Linked DNA regions of Notamacropus eugenii. The protein of the gene in region 1 interacts with the protein of each later gene in a biochemical or structural test. Links are inferred from orthologs where the notes say so. Each region holds a gene or a part of one and is shown in the gene's direction. Other genes may lie near its edges. The genes, in order: TOM1 and TOLLIP.

The links.
Region 2: the proteins of TOM1 (region 1) and TOLLIP form a complex in vitro, tested with the Homo sapiens proteins (3 studies listed by BioGRID and IntAct, with this or other methods). The link is inferred for Notamacropus eugenii from reciprocal best matches to the Homo sapiens genes TOM1 and TOLLIP.

Annotation. Positions count from the first base shown.
Region 1 is NC_092874.1:292,425,659-292,435,535, forward strand, and holds the start of TOM1 (target of Myb1 membrane trafficking protein), read left to right. Parts: upstream 1-5,659; 5' UTR 5,660-5,733; coding exon 5,734-5,785; intron 5,786-9,877.
Region 2 is NC_092873.1:26,707,091-26,716,928, forward strand, and holds the start of TOLLIP (toll-interacting protein), read left to right. Parts: upstream 1-5,857; 5' UTR 5,858-6,161; intron 6,162-6,487; 5' UTR 6,488-6,581; coding exon 6,582-6,604; intron 6,605-6,827; coding exon 6,828-6,866; intron 6,867-7,119; coding exon 7,120-7,270; intron 7,271-9,838. UniProt on the Homo sapiens protein: Component of the signaling pathway of IL-1 and Toll-like receptors. Inhibits cell activation by microbial products. Recruits IRAK1 to the IL-1 receptor complex. Inhibits IRAK1 phosphorylation and kinase activity.

The DNA of each region.
Region 1 (9,877 bases):
GGGAAATCTTTGGATTCAGACCTACTTACAGTTTTTATACCATTGCTTTGGTTTGGTTTTTTAAACAAATCCTAGTGGTTTGGTCCAAATCCCATTAAAGTTGTATAAAGAAATAAAATTTTGTACTTATATATTAAAAAAAACCCACATTTTTAATATTTGGAGTATCGTCTCATCTGTTTTCCCTGTGCTACAAAGCAGGTGTTAGATGCTTTGAGAACTCATACCACGCCCCTCTTCTCTTTTCCACTGAGAATTCCATCCTCTTTTTCTAATACAACATCAACCTTGGCCATTTTCCTGACCCCACATCCACCTGTGCTGTCAGGTTTCACACTGTGAGCGCACTAGTTTCCCCTCTCCATGCGCCAAGGACAGGAAGTCTTAACACTCTGGGGAAAATGTCCCCACTCAGTAAAAACTCATTTCTCTCTAGTGCTTTGCAAAGCACTTCCCCCTTCCTCCCCCCCCCCCCCCCATGAATAATGAGGGAGCTAAGGCTCAGGACGAGAGGCTGATCTGTCATGATCACACACAGCAAGTTTCAAGGCCAGGATCCAAACCAGGATCTTCTGACAGTCATCTCACCCAGTCTTTTTCCACATTAGTTTCCTCATCTCTAAAATGAGAGTTCTGGACCATGGCCCATGAGGTCCCTTCCAATCTGAGGGCCGTGATCCTGTTAATTCCCCACTCCAGCCTCCTTTCCCACCTTCCCCTGTCACTTCTCTTTCTGCTGAATATCTGGTTGGTGCAACTGGAGACCGCCAAGGTTGCCTCACCCCGCTCCTCAGGCCTGTGGCTAGCAGAAGGTCCCTGGGGAACCTCCTTTACAGAGTGATCAGTGTCTACATTAGCCCATCCTGGATGGTTGCAGGGAGTTAACCTTCAGCTTTCAGTGTTCATGCTAATGGATTTCTTTCCTTCCCCCCCTTCAGCCTCACGTTAACGGGATTAAGACTTGTCTGAAAAGCTGAAAATGCTAGACACAAACATTACTCAGACAAAACAGAGCAGAAATATCACAAGGCTGAGAGGAATAAAATTGTATCTTTGTTTTGACTAGACCTGTGATTTCAAGGAATTCCTTCCTATCAATGCAAATCAGCACCTTCTCTGACACTAAGTCTTAAGAGTGTTATCTAGAGTCACAGGCACAGTGTGTCTGAGGAAGCGTTGGAACCCAGGTCTTCCTAACTCTGAGACTAGCCCCATCCACTAAGCCATACTGCCTCCTGTGCCTTTATTGTGGGATAAAATCAAATTCAAGTCATATTAAGCCCCCACTATGTATGTTCAAGGCATTAGGGCCATGAGGACAATCGCTACCCTCAAAGAGCTATAGCGGAGGCAGGGTATAACAGGACAGAAGTAAATTAAACATTTGATTTGATTCAGGAGCAGCTGAACTGTACTGTTCTTGGAAATAAGCTGGGGTTCTTAAAGTGGAGTTGGAAGGAGTGCATTCCAGGCATAGGAGACCACCTTGCAAAGACCTGGGAGGGTGTTTGGGATTGGAAAGCAGGACTGGCGAGCCACCTAGTACAAAGAGAGAAGAAACCATAGAAATGGGAAGAGGCTGATTTATGGAGGAATCTATTAGTGGGTGTGGAAACTAGCCAGAATTCATTAATCAAACAATAAATGTGTGTAGACCACCTTGTTCAGCCCTAGCTGGGAAGTAGGTTTGGATCAGACTGTCTTCCCTGCACTGATGGAAGAGGGCAGCAGAGGGGCGTCAACACTTTCCAGATACTTGTCAAATGAATTCACAAGTTGTGGAACCACATGTTACCTAAGTAGTGGGAAGTTTGTCATAGGAGGCCCAAGACCCACCCCCATTAGAATGTACTGCTTTCCTTTGTCTCTGTACCCCGAGCTCTGAGCACAGGGAGGGCCTGCAAAACTGGGAGTTTAATAAATTCCTTCTGGTTGATTAGTTGATCATTGGGTTCCCCACCACCATCACTACCGCAGCTTGTAAGTGAATGACTTGCCTACGATCATCTACAAATGGCATCTAAGCCAAGCATTTGGTGACATCTGAGTGACTGTTTTGACGGTGTGAAGGTAGAAATGGGAAACAGAGCCAGTCAGTTAGTGAGAATGAAGGGTAATAGAAAACAGAAAGCAGACCCTTCCTACTGCGGCCATGGCCCTGGCCTGCCCAAAATGTTCAAAGGAAGGCCTTTAGTTCACTCCATGTGGAGGACTTACTGAAAGGGAGAGGCAAGAATTCAGTCATCATTTATTAAGTGCCTACTGTATGCCAGATACCATCCTAAGGCCCTGGGGATACGAAAAGTGACAAAAGACAGTCCCTGCCCTCAGAAAGCTCCCAATCTCATGGAATTGCCTAGCATGTTAAAAAAAAAAGTTTCAATCTTTTCAATCCCAGATCAACTTAAGTATGGGAAGGCATCAAGTTTAGAGAGGGAAGGGAAGCCTTGGGTCCTGAACAGCTCTTGAGTCTAGGCACGAGACCAGGTGGTATGATGGAGACAGTCCACAAGCCAGGAGTCCTGGGTTCCAATATTCTCCTGTGACCCTCCCTTCTTTCTTCATCTGTGAAAAGTAGGATGGAAAAAAATCCAGAAGCCACTTGGGTGCCCATTAGGGGGATGGCTGAAGAAATTACTGTATGAGATTAGATGGGAATGTTGCTTCACCATAAGAGAAGAGGCAAAGATATGTCATTAGTTAATGAATTTGAGAGAGAAAGCAGAAGCCCAAAGAACAGGTGTCAACAGACCTGCGTAGAGGCAGAGAACACTGAACTGGAAAAACAGTAACTCATGAGTCCCGTGGTCATTGTCTCTTCTGTCCAATAGCAAGGACACCAGTCCAGTCACCACTTTTTATCATTGTTTTCCTTGCCTAGAGCAGGGGTTGGCAAACCCCTAAGGATTTTTGTATGAACCTAAGGATGATTTATGTAATTTGCCAACCCACACTTTATGGCATCAGGGCATCTTAAATCTAGAAATGAAAAGAATCTCAGAGGCTTTGTGGTCTAGGTCTGCCCAGGGTAACTTGATTATATGCATCAGAGGCAGTATTTGAACCCAGGACCTGTGACTCCAGAACAGGGAGTTTTTTCCACTGCCACCCATTGACTTCTGGAGTGAGACATGTTCTCTTGTTTTTATTTTTACTTGGTCAATGGGTTATATGCTTATTCTATGACTTGTTTGGGAGTTCCATTGTGCTTCTGGGGATTTTTCTGGGTCTGTCTTTGCTTTCCCTACATCCATTTAAACATGTCTGCTGATGGAAGATAAAGTAAAATTGATCCATTAAATGCATGGAGCTGAACTTAGACATCTCTAAGATCCTGTGGTTTTTGCACACTCTTCCTCTGTTCTCCTCTGAAGCAGACACATGGGAGAAGGCAGCCCCAATCTGGTGTCAAAATGTGCTCCACACCTCCTTCCTGACCATGCAAAACACATGAGCAAATAACTTAGTGAGTTCCCCCACTGGAATGTGACTTATTTTATCTGCTTCCCCCACACTTGGCACCATTCATTCATTTATCTCTGGGTTTCAGTTTCTCCCTCTAACAATGCCTGCCTACCTCATGGGGTTAAGCATATGGTATTATGGAAAGACTCCTTTAAAGAGAGTCAGAAGATCTGAATGTCTCGTCTTTACTACTCATCGGTAACTGGGAGACTTTTGGCAGCCTCGACCTCAGTGTCCTTCTCTGTAAATTAAGGGCATGGGGATCTCCCTTTCTACTCTGATAGCTCCCATGTGTAGCACATCAAGGTTGACGAGGCACTTTCCTGACAATTACCCTCTTATGGCACAAGAATTAACGTCATTTTACAGATGAGGCAGGGAGGCTTGGAAAGGTTATCACTTGTCTGCAGTCACACAGCTGGTCAAAGAAAGAGCCAGATCATTGTTGAAGCCCCTTTAATGGCTGTGGTGAGTGTTAAATATGGATTGGAAAGCACTTTGAAAACTCTAGGGCTTATGCAAGTACAAGGCCCTGGTACCCTATGGTTGGGTCTTTCCTGATTCCTCCCAATAACTTGGTATACGTTTGTATTCGCTTGTCTGTGTACATTCTCTCCCTCTCCCCTGTCCCCCAGTAGAATGTAACCCTTGAGAGCAAACAATGCTTCCATTTTTTACTTTGTATTCCCAGGACCTGGCACATACCGGTGTCTGATAAATGTCTATTGAATTGACTTGAACCATAGCAGCAACTAATATTTTTATAGCACTTTTAAGGTTTCCTCTGAGGCCTAAACAGATTTCAACTTTTGTTTAGGTCTTTTAAAAATCACATTATTGTAATCAATGAATACTTAACACCTAATAATAATAAAGAAAACTTGTTTTTATGAATTTTTTTGTGTTTATGGCATCTTCCTAATAACGCCATGAGACAGCCAGTAAAAATGTAATTATCTCCATTTTACAGATGAGGAAATAGGTTTAGAGAAGTCAAACATCTAATAAAATAACTTGAAGCTGGCCCACCTGATTTCCATCTTGAAAGGGCAACACCTTGCCAAGTGGTTCTCTCCCCTTGGGGTTTCCAATTCCTGGATTTTCCTTCTTTTTTCAGAGTGAACAGATAGGCTTGTTGGAAAGGGACCACTGACTGTTTTGGAAAAAACAATGAATGGTCTAATAGTCCTAGTCCTTACCGGAAGGGTGGGGAAGGATGACGTGCTTACAACCACAGGGAAATCAGTCCAACCCTCAGCTCCTTTAGGTGTCCCTGTTCTCCACTTAATTATTCAAATAGAAACTGAGACAAAGGGAGATGGACTTACCCAGGTTGGCACAGCCAGTGAGCAGAAAAGTTAGGTGAGAGCCTAGGTCACTACATGACGGCTGGGCCTTGGTTTACCCATCTGTAGGGGGAGGGGGAGAGCCAGGAGCTCCATAAAGCCCCCAAACAGATGCTGGAATACCAAGGAGTTGGCTAACGGGGAAGGACTGCTTAGTGAGCTGCCATGGTGACCAGGGGTGGGGAGGAATCATACGGTGACTTGGGGATCACTGCGTCCAGCCCCCCATGAGCACTTATTGAGTGCCTACTGTGTGCCAGATACCACGGAAATGACAACAGTGAGGGCTCCAGGGGGGAAGCCGCACAAGGCAGGAGTTTGTGCCGGTCTCCTGGTCCCTCTTAGAGGGCAAGGGCGGCCCCTGACTTTCCTTATATGCGCTCCGGGGCTGGCACACAGGAGGTGCTTAATAAATGCTGATTGACGGTGACTTCGGCAGGTAGGAGGGGAACCCGGCGTTCCCACTCCGAGCCCATCCCCTCGCCCTTCTCCGCTCTCCCTTTTACCATAGAGTCCTTACACCCGGAGCCCCCGGGGGCCAGCCGGGAACGCCCCCTGGCACGGAGGGGCAAACTGAGGCCGCAGGCAGCCAGGGAGTCGCTTATGGCTGTAGCTGCGGGCAAGCCCCGCCCCCTCTCTGGGCCTCCGGTGTGCAACGGTGGAGGAGGGGAGGCCGGGGGCTGCCCTCGATGACCTCTGACATTCCGCGGAGGAGGCTGCGGGGTGGCGAGGTTGCGTGACGTCACGAGGGCCCCCTGCTCCCACCGCGCGCCTACGCCTCGTGCCGGTGATTGGCACGTCACGGGGCGGGGCCTGTGGCTGCTCGGGGGGGGGGGGGGGCGGGTCACGTGACGACTCCGAGGCCGTGGCAGTTGCTGTCAGCTGATCCCTCGGGCTCGGAGGGGTGGCGGCGGCGGCGACCATGGACTTTCTCCTGGGGAACCCGTTCAGCTCCCCTGTGGGGCAGCGCATCGGTAAGTGCTCCGCGCGTCCCGGCCTCCCCAATGCCGGCCTCCGCCTCCTGGGGACCCCTCGGGCTCGAAGCCCCAGATCTAGGGGACTCAGGGGATCCTCCCCCCCTGCCTCGAGAGCGCGGAGTGACAACGTCCTCGAGCCAATAGAAAAGGTGGTTTGACCGACTGGCGAGGGCTCGGGCCTATAGCCTGCTTGGGGGGCGGGAGCCGGAGGCCGCGGCTTATCCAATCAGCGCCCGAGGAGGTCCCCGGAGCCGGGCAGAAAGTTTTCTCTCTTAAAGGGCCCGCAGCGTTCCCGCCCCCGGGGCTCCGAGCGTCAGCTGCGCCGGGACAGGGGTGTCCGGGGTCTGGCACTCGGCACCCGGGCGAGGGACCTCGAGGCAGAGGGATCCACGGGACAGAGCCTGGGGGGGCGGAGGATCTGGGTTCCAGTCCTGCCCCTGACTATTCCGGGGCGGACCAGTGCCCCGAGGGTCTTCCCAACTTTTCTGCGTCACTTCTCTTGTCTGAGCCTCAGTTTCTCATCTGCAAAATGGGGGTGCAGTTCCACGGACATAAATTGGTCAGTAAGCATTTTTGTAGCTCCTGCTGTGTGCCCTGGAGGACTCAGAGTGACCACGTGCAGACCAGATACAGGGGAGGGGGAAAGCTCCCTACTGTGCGCGTAGCCCTGGGCTGGGGAAGCAGTGAGTCTGGGTCTTCTCTGTGTCGCCAGACCGCGGCCCACAGTAGGCGCCTAATAAATGCTGGCTACAGCACTTTCTGTCCCAATCCTGCCTCACTTCCCCCGGGCCACACCCCTTCATCTGTCCCCATTCTCCGGTAGATTTTTGATCCTCTGAATGAAAAGGCATCTATTAAGCACTTACTGTGTGCGTTGGGGGTCACCAATCTAGATGGTCCCTGGCCTGGAAAAGCTCGTGTCCTGTTGAGGGGAGACCACGCATTTAGGCCTGATATTCTGAGAAGTCACTGCAGTTAATCAGTTAATTAACTGACTAACATGTATACAGTGGGTGTCATAGTTATGCAGATGAATGAAAAGTTGATCCTAGGAAGAGGAAGGGGGGCTTCATGGAGTAGGTGGCATGAAGCTGATCCTCCAAGGAAAAAAGAATTCTGAAAAGTAGAAGGGAGGACCTGAGGCTGGGTCTGTCCCAGCTGAGGAGGGGGCCACTGGAAGACCCTGCTTTGTCTGTGATCAGTCAGTCAGCAGCTCCTTTAGGTGCTTACTCCGGGCCAGGCATAGTGGGAGGGGCTGGAGACCCAAAGAAAGGGGAGCTCCCTTTGTATGGGTGGGAAGATGGCTGTGCCTAGGGAATGGGTACAGAGTGGAGAGAAAATCATCTCGCAAGAGAGGCCTTTGGAAGAAGGTAGGATTTGAACTGAGTCCTGGAGAAACTGGGGTAGCAAAGAGCAGAGGTGAAGAAGGACAGGCTTCCAGGCATGGGGCACAGACAGTGCAAAGGCCTGTGGGTGGGAAATAAGAGTTATGTGTTCTGGAAACAGCAACACCAGCACACAGGAGGTGGAAGGTGGAAGACTGGAATGGGGTGAAGGACTTTATTTTCTATTTGATCCTGGAGGTGATGGGGTGCCACTGGAGGGGAGGAGGCAGAGTGGCATCTGGGTGAGGGGAAAGACAGGGCTGGGGATGCTATCAAAAGGCCAGAAGGGATGAGGACCTGAACCAGGCCTTTTAATATTTGCATGACCTGCTTAACAAGACTGTGCTGAGGATAAGATGAGATTCAGAAGGCGGCTGGATTACTCACCGGGTGGAGCACAACTAGTCCAAACTTAGCTTCAGCTACTTTTTAAGTATGTAACCCTGAGCAAGTCAGCTAGGTCTGCCTCAGTTTCCCCACCTGAAAGTGGGACTACTACCAGCCCCTCTCTCCCAAGGTTGTTGTGAGGATCTGACTCCTCCTCTCCCCCTGCCCCCCACCCCCCACCCCCCAAGGCATCTTCTACAATGAGAGTTCTGAACCAGAAAGACTGGGATTCTGGTCCTGGGACTGGCCTGGGCAGGGCAGCCTTGCAGACTGACTGTCCTTTCCAATTCCAAATGTCTGATCTGATTTCATCCCAAGCTCATCCCCCATCTCTGGAATTCCAGCCTTTGTGGTCAGAATAACTGTTCTCAGATTCCTCCCAGGGTGGGGTGATCCCAGCTTTAGACGCCTCCTGGAAGGCCACCTGACCATGAGTCAGGTTCTGGGCTGGAGAGAGCATGCCTGTGGCTCCTGAGTCTTCCCACCCCCCAGTCCCAGACTGCCCCACTTTCACTTCTGGCCAAGATTGGAGCTTCCCTAATTGACAAATACAATGGATTTTTGGAGAAAATTCACCATTCTGAGTTACAGCAATTCATAGAGTGTAACTCTGAAGGCATCTGTGAAGTGTCTGCTTCCTGTGGACCAGGCGTTTGCTGAGAGCACTCAGAGAAAGCAAAAGAGGGCAGAAATGAGGAGGGATGGCATTCCAGGCAGAGGGGACCACCAGGGCAAAGGCTTGATTTGGGAGAGAGAGAGCATGATGTATGAAGCAGGACAATAAGCTGGGAAGAGCTTTCATTGCCAGCTGTGGGCACACCAATCCTTCCAAGGAAACCTTATCAATAGTGTCTCCATTTTACAGATGAGTGAACTGAGGCCTAAAAAGAAATCATCTCCTCAGCACCATGTAGCTAGTCAGTATCAGGCAGGATTTGAACCCAGCTCTCTCCTCACTCTTTGGCAAGCTCCCTTTTGTATGTAACCAGTTTTCCTGAGGGTTTGCCTTTCTTAGCACTAACCAGGAGGTATAGGGGGTCTTGGAAGGCTAAGGAAGCTCCTCTTGGTAGCCTGAGCTACTCCTGTTCTCTCCCAGCCATCAGAGCATCCCAGCAGCGCTGGAAGGGGTCTGGCAGGTCCTTTGTCTGGCCCTCTTATTCTCACTGGCACACAGTGACTTAGCCAAGGTCCCAGAGTCAGTGACAGATCCAACAGGAGAAGCAGACCATCCTCCTCTCCTAGTGGCCACCTTTGACATTAACCCATGGTTCAGGGATTACTGAACTTGAATGTAACTTGAATGTTCTTAGCCCTCTGAGGTTTATGGCAGCCTTGTGGGCTGGAGAATCCACTTAGTATTATGCCCATGTTATAAAGAAGGAAATCGAAGCTTAGTGGACTAATTGATGTGCCCAGGGCCCCAAATCTAAAAGCACAGGATATGAGTGTTCTGCATGTAGTGGGCCCATACATCTGTACTAACCCAGTGTTCTGCATGTAGGAAGCCCATATACCCTTATTAACCCAGTGTTCTGCACGTAGTAGGCCCATACATCTGTATTAATCCAGTGTTCTGCACATAGTAAACCCATACATCTGTACTAATCCAGTGTTCTGCACATAGTAGGCCCATACATCTGTACTAATCCAGTGTTCTGCATGGAGTAGGCCCATACATCCGTACTAACCTGCACATAGTAGGCCCCTGAGAGGTATTGGTTGAACAGCCCAGTCATCCTGATTCTTCCCTTAGTCAGAGGTAGAGTGAAACCGCATGGCACTAATCTAGGTTCATCCCGAATCCTTTCTGTTGGCCCAAGGCCATCTTCTTTGGGGGTGGAAGGTTCTCCCCAGAAGAGCTGCCTCCCCACCAGGCCCAAGGGGCAGGATCTGTAGCCTCTGAGCCCCATCAGCCACGGGCAGAACAGCCCAGAGCTACAGTCTCCATGGGTCTGTGCTGATAATGGAACAAGGTCACCTGTATCCACTTCAAAACTGCATCTTTATACTCATTTTTTGGGCCCATATGGGCAGGCTTGAACTCCACAGGCTCCTCCATCCTCCTACCTGACAGATGGTGGCTCTTCCAGCCCATGGGGTCCACCGTGACCCCTGACTCCCCTCATCTCTGCAGGCTGACAAATATAATTTAGTTAATACTAACCTTCCTGCTATTGTTTCTCTATCCATGGGCCCCTTCACCAGGGCAACAGCCCAGTAGGGAAAGGTTTCCAGATTAATAAGTAATCACTTGTGATTACATTTGGTGGTTATCTAAGCATTTTCTAAGTACTGTCCCAGGACAGGTCCTGCCAGC
Region 2 (9,838 bases), on another chromosome or scaffold:
GGGAGGAGAAGTCCGGGTATCTCTATGGTCCTTTCTGGACTTTTGGATGACTTTCTTCTCTCCAATAAACAGCCGTCCAACTTGGCCCCTTGCTTTTGCTGGCTGAAGTCCTGCAGCCCTTCTTGACCTGGAGCCATTGCTACTATTTATCAGGTGTATTTTATTAAATTTGTAACTGTTTTTAAAAAGTGAGTGAGGGAAAAAAGGACAAACCAGAGGGTCCTGTGGGCAAGCAGGGCCTCACTGGAGCCGCTGGAAGGGACAGTCACCAACCGGATTTCCCATGACTGGCCTAGGAAAACCTTGGAAGCGTAGAAGGGGAGAGCACACTTGGTGAAAAGATCAGCCTCAGGCTTCTGACAAGGTGGTCTGCATCTCTCTGTACAGCTGTTTGGCAGCAGAGCCCAAAGACACTTGGCTATGATACCCACTGAGGGTCCTCCTAGCTCTGAGTTCCCAAATAGAAAGAAGCAACAGCAGCACCCTTCCACTTAATCAACAGTGTGTGTGTGTATGTGTGTGTGTGAGAGAGAGACACACACACACACACAGAGACAGAGATAGAGACAGAGACAGAGACAGACAGAGAGAGAGAACAGGGAAGGGGAGAGAGAGAAAGGAGAGGGAGGAAGAGGGGGGAGACGGAGAGAGAGAACCAGGACTGGCTGCCATATGGACAAGGTGGGATCATGACTGGGGGGGTGTTGGTGAGAGACAGATGCCCCCCCCCACCCCCCTTAGTCCTAGAAGCTCCTGGAGGGTGGCCTCCTCTGTTCATGTCTCTTGGACCCTCCAGCCCTCCTCCTTCAGGAAGCAGCGAACTCACACTGTGCAAAACGAGAAGCTCAGCCCTTCCCAGGCCCGGCTCACCTGCCTCCCTCTTGCCTAAGCACAACCCTCTTTCCTCACTGTCCTTGTTGAGTTAAGCTGTAGCCAGATGACTTCAATGACTGCCCTATGAAAACTTCCCATCCACTAGAGGCTGCTTGTTTGAGTATAACCACCAGGGGGCGCTGTCGAGCAAGGCAGGCTTCCATGTTAATCCTCTGAGTCCAGGGAAGCGAAGTTGATTCTGCAGGAATGAGTTTTCCTTAAGCCCTGGGCCCTGAGCTCTGCCTTCAAGGGGGCAGAGGGGCATGGCTGCTTGTCCCAGAGTTCGGTGGCACTGGGCACTGCGTTGCTTCCATCCAAGAGAGGGTATTTTCCCAGGGATGGGGGTCCCTCTCTTTCTCTTGGATCACTCATTAAAACAATGAATAAACGAATGGGGAAGGGGAAAGGAAAAGAATAATGTAAAAAAATTCATAACATTCAGTCTGAGCTGGGACTCTCATCTCATGGCTGCCCCCAAAACGAGTTCTTCCCTATTTTGGCTCTATCACACGCCCTGAAACAATTATTCAGAATCCTCTCCTTCCTCAAGGATGGTGGTGACAGGCACAGAAATAGATATGTTTAGAGGAAGGTAATTTTGTTCTGTTTTACAGGTGTAGGAAGAGGAAAAGCAGGGACCACATATCCATTTCTCACGCAGCATCTGCAGGTTCTTGCTGGCGCTGGGTCCTGATCTGCAGGCACCTGACCTGCTCATTTCTTGTCCTCCCCAAATCCCAATCCTCCAGCAGGGCCTTGTGGCTTAACTTTTAGCAGCTGCTTTTTGGTATCTCACTCTGCCTTCAAAGGCTTCCCTCCTTTCCTTCTCCCCACCCCCTTTCCCAAAGGTCAGGGTCAAAGAATACTTTGAGAGTCTGGGTAGCTGGTCCAGCAACTTTGATCCCTCCCACCCCTGAAAGTAGGACTGATGGGGGATGCTTGAGCTTGGAGCCTGCAGGCTACTTCCTAGTCTCCTCTCAAATGCCAAAAATGGAAACACTTTGGCTCTCTCTTTGTATTTATGGGGATATAAATTGGAATTTTTTTGGAATTGGAATTGAATGCTGAATGTACTTTCCCATTCCTTACACTGTCCTCCAGTGAGAAACTAAGGGACTTTATCCTTTCTCCCTCGCATAGCCACTCTTCTGGAAAGAACCATCTACACTTGCTGCCTCCTTTATCAGCTCCTCCACTTGGCTAAAACTTACAAATGACCTCTGAAATACTGAATCTGAGGAGTTTTTCTTGTCTTCTTTGTAGTGATACAAGGACACTCTCAAGGTCTCTCTGAAGAACTCTGGAATCAATTGTGAGACACAGGAGGCACTGACAAATGACTGCGGAGTATGGCGTGCCCGAATCAAAGAAGGCACTGTGTTCTATAAGCAAAGCAGAATTGCATTAGCTCAAAAGAAACGTAAGATGTGCAAATTCAGAGACATCCCCCTCCCAAATGTCCAGATGGATTGTTTGTGTAGGACCTGTGGCAGAGCTTTCCTAGCTTGTACTGGCCTAAGCAGCCATGGCTGGACATCCTGGGCACTGACCCCAACATTGTGATGTTATTTAGGTCCTCCTGAAGTCAACCAGCTTGGGACAGCACTGATCCACTTCCTCCTAGACACATTTTCTCTTCTTGGCTCTCTGAGACTGTGCTCTAGTTCACCACGTCCCTAGCACTCACTCCTCAGTGTTCCTTGATGGACCATCCACAAAAATTTCTCCCCGGTGTTCCTCTTCTCTCCTTACACTTCTTTCTCCTTTGTGATTTCATTTGCTCCCATCAGTTAAGCATCTGTTCTGCTTTGATGGCTCAAACTATATAGCCAGCTCACGTCTTTCTGTGAACTCTGCCCCACATGGCCAACTGCCATGGACATACACATGGCTCCTAGGTATCCAGGTGGCAACTTGAATTTATTTTGTACAAAACAGAGCTGATTCTCTTTGTCTGTGAACTGTTTTCCTCCAAAGACCCCCATTTCTGGATGATAGCAGGCACCACCATCCATGAGGAAAAAGGTTCTGAGCCATTGCTTCGAGGAACATGATAGAGGCTAAAATCAGGAATAATAAAATGATTTATATGATATCAAAAATCAACAAGCATTTATTAAGTGCTTACTGTGTGCTAGGTCAGGGCATCTAGGTGGCACAGTGGATAGCTTGCCAGACCTAGAGACAGGAAGACTCATCTTCCTAGGTTCAAATCTGGCCTCTGACACTTAGTAGCTGTGTGACCCTGGGCAAGTCACTTAGCCCTCTCTGTCTCACTTCCTTATCTGTAAAATGAGCTGGAGAAGGAAATGGAAAACCACTTCACTACCTTGGCCAAAAAACCCCCAAATGGGGTCACAGAGAGTAGGATACCACTGAAAATGACCGAACAATGCACTAGGCACTGTGTTTAGTGTTGGAGAGGCAGAAAATACAAATAATCCCAGCCCCCAAGGGGCTGACATTCTAATAGGGGAGATAACATATAAATCAGGACATTCAAGGTCAATGAATAGACAGATGGACAGATAAATGGAAAGTTAAGAAGGAAAGACATCAGTGCAGGGGAGTGGTCAGGAGAGTCCTCTTTCAGAAGGTGACACTGGAGTTGAGTCTTAAAGGAAGCCTGAAATTCTTGGAGTCAGAGGTGAGAAAGAGCAGGCCACTGGTGGGGAAGAGTAGATCGTGGAGAACCAGTCAGTCAACAAGCATTGGTTGTTTTTCCAAGTGCTGGAGGTAGGTAGAATATAAGTGCACTAGAAAGGTCATAGGGGGCCAAGATGTGAGAAGCTTTAAATGCCAAAGAACTTCCTATCTGAATCTGAAGGTCAAAGGGAGCTGCTAGAGTTTACTGAGTGGGATGGGAGTGGTGATGTGGTCAGACTCACCCTTTGGGAAGATCAGCTGAATGAAGGCTGGATTGGAGAGAAACCTGAGGCAGGTAGATGCACTGGCTGCTATGGCAATAGTCCATGTGTGAAGTGATGAGGGTCTGTATCAACCAAGCAATCAATCAACTAAGGTTTCCTAAGCCCTTACTATGTTTCAGGCACTATGCTAAGCACTGGGGGACACAAAAAGATGCTGCAGAGGTGAAATGGACAAGAGATGACAGAGGTGAAATGGACAAGAGATGGCAGAGGTGAAATGGACAAGAGATGTAGCAGAGGTGAAATGGACAAGAGATGACAGAGGTGAAATGGACAAAAGATGGCAGAGGTGAAATGGACAAGAGATGTAGCAGAGGTGAAATGGACAAGAGATGTAGCAGAGGTGAAATGGACAAGAGATGTAGCAGAGGTGAAATGGACAAGAGATGTAGCAGAGGTGAAATGGACAAGAGATGTAGCAGAGGTGAAATGGACAAGAGATGGCAGAGGTGAAATGGACAAGAGATGTAGCAGAGGTGAAATGGACAAGAGATGTAGCAGAGGTGAAATGGACAAGAGATGTAGCAGAGGTGAAATGGACAAGAGATGTAGCAGAGGTGAAATGGACAAGAGATGGCAGAGGTGAAATGGACAAGAGATGTAGCAGAGGTGAAATGGACAAGAGATGTAGCAGAGGTGAAATGGACATACCTTGGCACCATCTTGGATCTGGGGGTGAGAGTGAGGAGCCCAGGATGCCTCATAAGTTGGGAGCCTGGGGCACTGGGAGAGTGGGGGTGTTGTAGACGGAAGGTTTGGGGGAAAGATGGCAAGTTCTGCTTTGGACAAGCCGAGTTTGAGATGCCTGTAGATGAAACTGGGGCAGAGAGAGGTTAGGGCTGGATTTGTCCGTCCAGGGCAGGGCTCATTTGCAGGGTCAGGTTAGGACTTCCGAAGGGCAGATTGCGCGTGGTGGGGAGAATGGGCAAAGAGATGCCCCCAGCATCTCCAGGAATACCCGAGTGCATGAAAGTGCAAACTCGGGAAACTGAGGGAGGGAAGAGGGGAGCCTTCCCTTTGTAGCCGTCGCAGCCACGTGGGGGGAAGCTGCGGCTAGAACCTCAATGGTGAGAGCCATCCTAAGGGAGGTCCTGGAAAGTCGCTGAGCTCCCTGTCCCTGTAAGTATTTCAGAGGGGGTGCAGGGACTGGCCGGACCCTGCCTCGTTGCGGTCCTTCGAGGACCCCATCCAGCCCGGACTCGTTCAGCCCCGCCCCGGGCCACCCATGCTCCCAAGCAGACCCGGTTCGGTGTGTGAGCTGAGTGTCCGCCAGGAGGCATTCGCGAAGGCGGCGGACTGCGCAGACGCGGCTGTATCCGGGAACATCCGGGCTCTGCCGGGGGGCGGGGCGGAACTCAAAAGGTGTCGGAAGCGGAAGCTGCCCCACTCCCAGGCGACTGTCGCTGGGCAGGGCCTACGTGCGCCTGCGCAGCGTGGCCGCGCGCCGCGCGCCGGGGGCGGAGCCGGGGGCGGGGCCAGGCGGGCGGTCAGTCAGCTGACGAGCCCGAGGCGGCGTCGGTGGAGGAGGAAGAGGAGGAGGCGCCGGGGTTTGGGCCCCGGGTCCGGGCGGGGAGCGGGTGACGCGGCCATGGCGACCACCGTCAGTACCCAGCGGGGCCCGGTAAGGCGGGGGGCCCTCCGGGGGTCTCGTGGGGGGAGGGGCTCCAGCTCTCTTTAGGCCCCCCCCGTGTAGGGGGAGGGGGGCGGCTCCCGGGTGAGCAGGGCCGGGGTCAGGGGTCAGCCGGGCGGCCCCGGGGGCTCTGTGACCTGGGCTGTGGGGTCAGCGGCCCTCCCTGCGGGGCGCTCAGGCGGGGGGAGGGGCAGCCCCCACACCCGAAGGTGCCCCCGAGGGGGCAGAGCCCTGCGGGGTGCTGGGGGGGGAGGGCCAGCCCCCACACCCGAAGGTGCCCCCGAGGGGGCAGAGCCCTGCGGGGTGCTGGGGGGGAGGGGCAGTCCCCACACCCGAAGGTGCCCCCGAGGGGGCAGAGCCCTGCGGGGTGCTGGGGGGGAGGGGCAGCCCCCACACCCGAAGGTGCCCCCGGTCCTTCCATCAGGGGCTGGTGCCCTGTGACCCCGGGGGGCGGGGGGGGGGCTGGCCGTTTCCTCCTCGAGCGCAGATGGGGAAACTCGATTCCACCAGGGCTGCCAGCCCCCTCCCCCTAAATGCCTTGTTTTAGACGGGTTTTATCGGCGATGATTCCGGACTTCGTGCTTTTATCCGCCCCGTTACCTCCCCCAGACCCTCCCTCCCCAGTCACCTCCTGTGGCTCCCTGTGGCCTCAGGGTCAAGGCCTGTGGAAACCTGCTGAGCCATGAGGAGCGTGTGCCCGCAGCCTCGGTCCTTCCGCAGGGAGGCAGGCACGGAAATACTCACACGTGGGGACAGGGATGGAGGGTCCATCGGTAGGGACAGCTCTGGGCTCACAGTCAGGCAGGCCTGAGTTCAAATCCTGGCCGGGTGACCCTGTTTGCCTCAGTTTCCTCATCCGTAAAGTGGGGGTGATGACAGGCTTGTTGTGAGGATGGTGATAGGTAATTGTGTTCTGGAATGACAGTGATAACTGACGGTTGTACAGCCTCAGCTGTGTGCCAGGTTCTGTGGCAGCCCTGGGAGGGAGAGGCAGTCAAGCTGAAAGGGGGGCGGGTGGCATGGAGGCCATGGCTGGGCTCATTCCTCCTCACAGTGGGGGCTCTGGAAGGAACTTAGTGATGGAAGAAGGGGAAGATTGGGGTGGTACAAGATGTCCTGGCATGAGAAGGCCTTAGACCTTGGCAGCCATGCCTAGGAACGAGGGACTCAGGTGAGTGTGGCTTCCTGTGTTTTGTGGATTAGGAATCCTGACTAGGGAAGGACCAGAAGCCCCTGAGGGGTGGGGAGAGGCGTGGGAAAGAGAAGGAAAGCTCAGCTCCTAGGAATTCAGCCAGAGGTGCTGGGGCTGGGTGGGTGGCTGAGCTTGGATGCCGAATCCTGAATTTTGTGTAGCAGAGCCAGTACCTGAGGCACATGTTGATTTTGCCCAACAGGCCCCAGAGGAGAAGGAGCCTTCTGGTCCAAGCCCTCAGGTCAGCCTCCTACCAGCCCTGTCTTCTCGGCCCCTCCCTCGGTCATGTGGTACCACCTTTGGCTGGTATCCTTCCTCTGAGCTGAAGTCGCCATTTTGTCTTGATCCCCCTAACAAGACAACGTGAGCTGGGGCACCCGGTCCCCTTCACTTCCCGTTGTCTCCTCCCAGATCCTCTCTAGCTTGGTTCCCGCAGAGTTGGCCTCAGTGACCAAGATTCTCTTGCCCTCCTCCCCCATTTCTGCCTACTTTAGTGACAAGAAAACCCGTGAGACCTTGATACCCCAGGAGTATAGGCAGGCACCTGCCAGCTTGGAGTACTTTGAAGACACATTGAACAAGAGGCGGGCTCTGTGGTGGAATGGGAAGGACCTGGCTTCCCGCCCTACTGTTAGGAAATCCCAGGTGCTGTCCCTGTCCTGCCGACCTGCCTGTTTGGTCAGAAGAACTGCTGGGCTGTTTTGGTTTAACTGAGCGTTTAGGACAACTTGGTCACTGTGGCCCAGGCCTCCCGGGCTCCTTAGCCTTTCCAGCTCAGCTAGAGCTGGCACTTTACAAAGTTATACAGTCCCGCCCCTGGTCCCAGGACCACTTGGTCCTAATAGGAATTAACAGAAGTTTCTGTAGCTTTTAGAGATGGGCAGAGCCCTGAGCTGCCACGATCTCATTGGTGTTTCATGACAGCTCCAGGGGAGAGCACTTAGAAGGTGTGACAGGCCCCCCCCCCCCCCCCCCCAGTCTCACAGGGTGTGGCTCCCACCCTGTCTAGACTGGCCTCCGTCAGGAGCAGGAGAGACAGAGACTGGCTGTCTCCCGCTGGCCACTTACCTCATTGGAACAGGCTCAGCCCAGATACCCTCATCTGTACTCAGTTGCCTACCTCCTTGAACTACCTTCTTGGATTTAAGCATTGTGTGCTCGTGCACACACGTGTGTGTGTGTTACCTGCATGTTTGTGTTGTGTGCACATCCACATGCCCACAACTTCCCTATGAGAACAGAAGCTCCCAGTGAGAAGGAATCGGTCCATTCTTTGTCCTTGTACCTCTACCCTCTGACCCAGAGTGTGGCACAAAGTAGGTGTTTAATGGAATGTGGTTGTATGGTTGAGATGCCTGTGCCCATCCACACAGCTAGGAAGCAAGTGAAGATGGGTGTCACTGCAGCACAAGGAGATTGTCATTGGGCAAGCAATGGTCTGTGTGGCCCAGATGGTTTAGGCCTCCAGGCCCCTGGGGTTCTTGGAGGCAATCTTGGAGTGTAGACTTAGCTCAGAGAGAAAGGAAAGGGTGGATTGTCATTGGGGAGGGGGACTGCTTAGGGAGGAGGTCCCAGAGAGAGTGTTCAAGCTCTGTTGTGTCCAGGACAGACGCCATCATGGTGTGGCTATCACTCCCAGGGTTTAGTAAACACTTCTGACTGGTTTCGTGGATGCACCCTAGGCTGCTTCAGCAGGCTAGTCAGGCTTCCATTTCCGTGACATAGAATTTGTTTTTCCTCATTTGTACTTTTTAAAAAAAGGAGCACTGGTGCTGACAGAGGCATTTTAAATGCTGAAGCCAAGCAGCCTTTCACTTCCTAACACAGTGTAAGATATTGTAGTTCCAGACTTTGTCCGTCATTTTGAATCCTTTGAATAGTTTGACCGATTTTCTAGACCGAAGCTTTGTGCTTGGCTCCTGATGCACAGTGAGTCTGCACAGCCTTGGCTTGGGGTGTCCTCTGGTGCCACGAGAGGGGCCGGGCCCGATCGTTCTTTCTTTCCTGAGTTTGGACATTTGGGGACATTGCACCATGGGGAGAAGCAGATTTATGGAAGTGCCTGGATCTAAATATGAGAACTCAGTCGTGCTCGACCCAGCAGCCCCCGACGGAAGCTGGGCCTCGGGCCCCAGGCTGCTGCCTGCTTCGTGCTTCATCCAGGGGACACTGAGAAGGGGCTCTGGTCGGTCCAAGTGGGGGATACTGTAAAAGAAGTAAATTTCTTCTCTTTGGAACATTTTTATTTATTTCATCAAACATTTTCCAATTGCATGTAACATTTTTTTAACATTTGTTTTAAAAAATGGAGTTCCAAGTTCTCCCTCATTTCTGTCCCCCACTCCCCTTGAGAAGACGAGCGATCTGATATTGATTATGCGTGTGAAGTCATGCAGAACACATCTCCATGTTGGCCATGTCCCAAAAGAAAGCGTGTAGCTCCAGGGCCACTCAGCTTCTGAGTTCAGATCCAGCCTCACACACTGACTAGCTGTGTGACCATAAACCACTTTACCCTGCTTGCCTCAGTTTCCTCCTCTGGCAAATCACTCCAGTATCTCTGCCAAGAAAACCCCAAAGAGGGTCACAAAGTCAGACATGACTGAAGACATTACAGAAAGAAAACAGACAAAAAAGTAAAGCAAGAAACTGAAGTAAAAATAGTCTGCTTTGATCCGTACTCAGTGCATCATTTTTCTCTCTGTAGGCAGTACATTTCATCATGAGGCCTTTGGGATTGTCTCAGGGCATCCGCACTGCTGAGAATGGCCAAGTACATTATGGCTGTTAGGAGGTTGTAATGCTAAGGACTTTAAAGATCTTCCCCACCCGTTAATCCCCCCATAAAGGGGGGTTTGATTAGGGGAGATTTGTGGGAAGGCCTACGCCTTTTGTCAGTCTTCTAATGAGGCGCTGGTTCTCAAGGGTTGTGATGCCCTCTGGCCCTGAAAAGTGTATAAATACTCTCTGGTGAGGTTTCACTTGAGGGCTTCCTCATGGGAAGTGTTGTTAGGCCAGAGGAGACTCTGGGCAGCCCCTAAGGAACCCCTGGCTTTGAGGCTTTGGTAACTATGTATGTGATAGTCAGACAGTTGTCCGTCTGTTGGTCTGTGGCGTATGTCAGACAGTTGTCCATCTGTTGGTCTGTGGCGTATGTCAGACGGTTGTCTGTCTGTTGGTCTGTGGCGTATGTCAGACGGTTGTCTGTCTGTT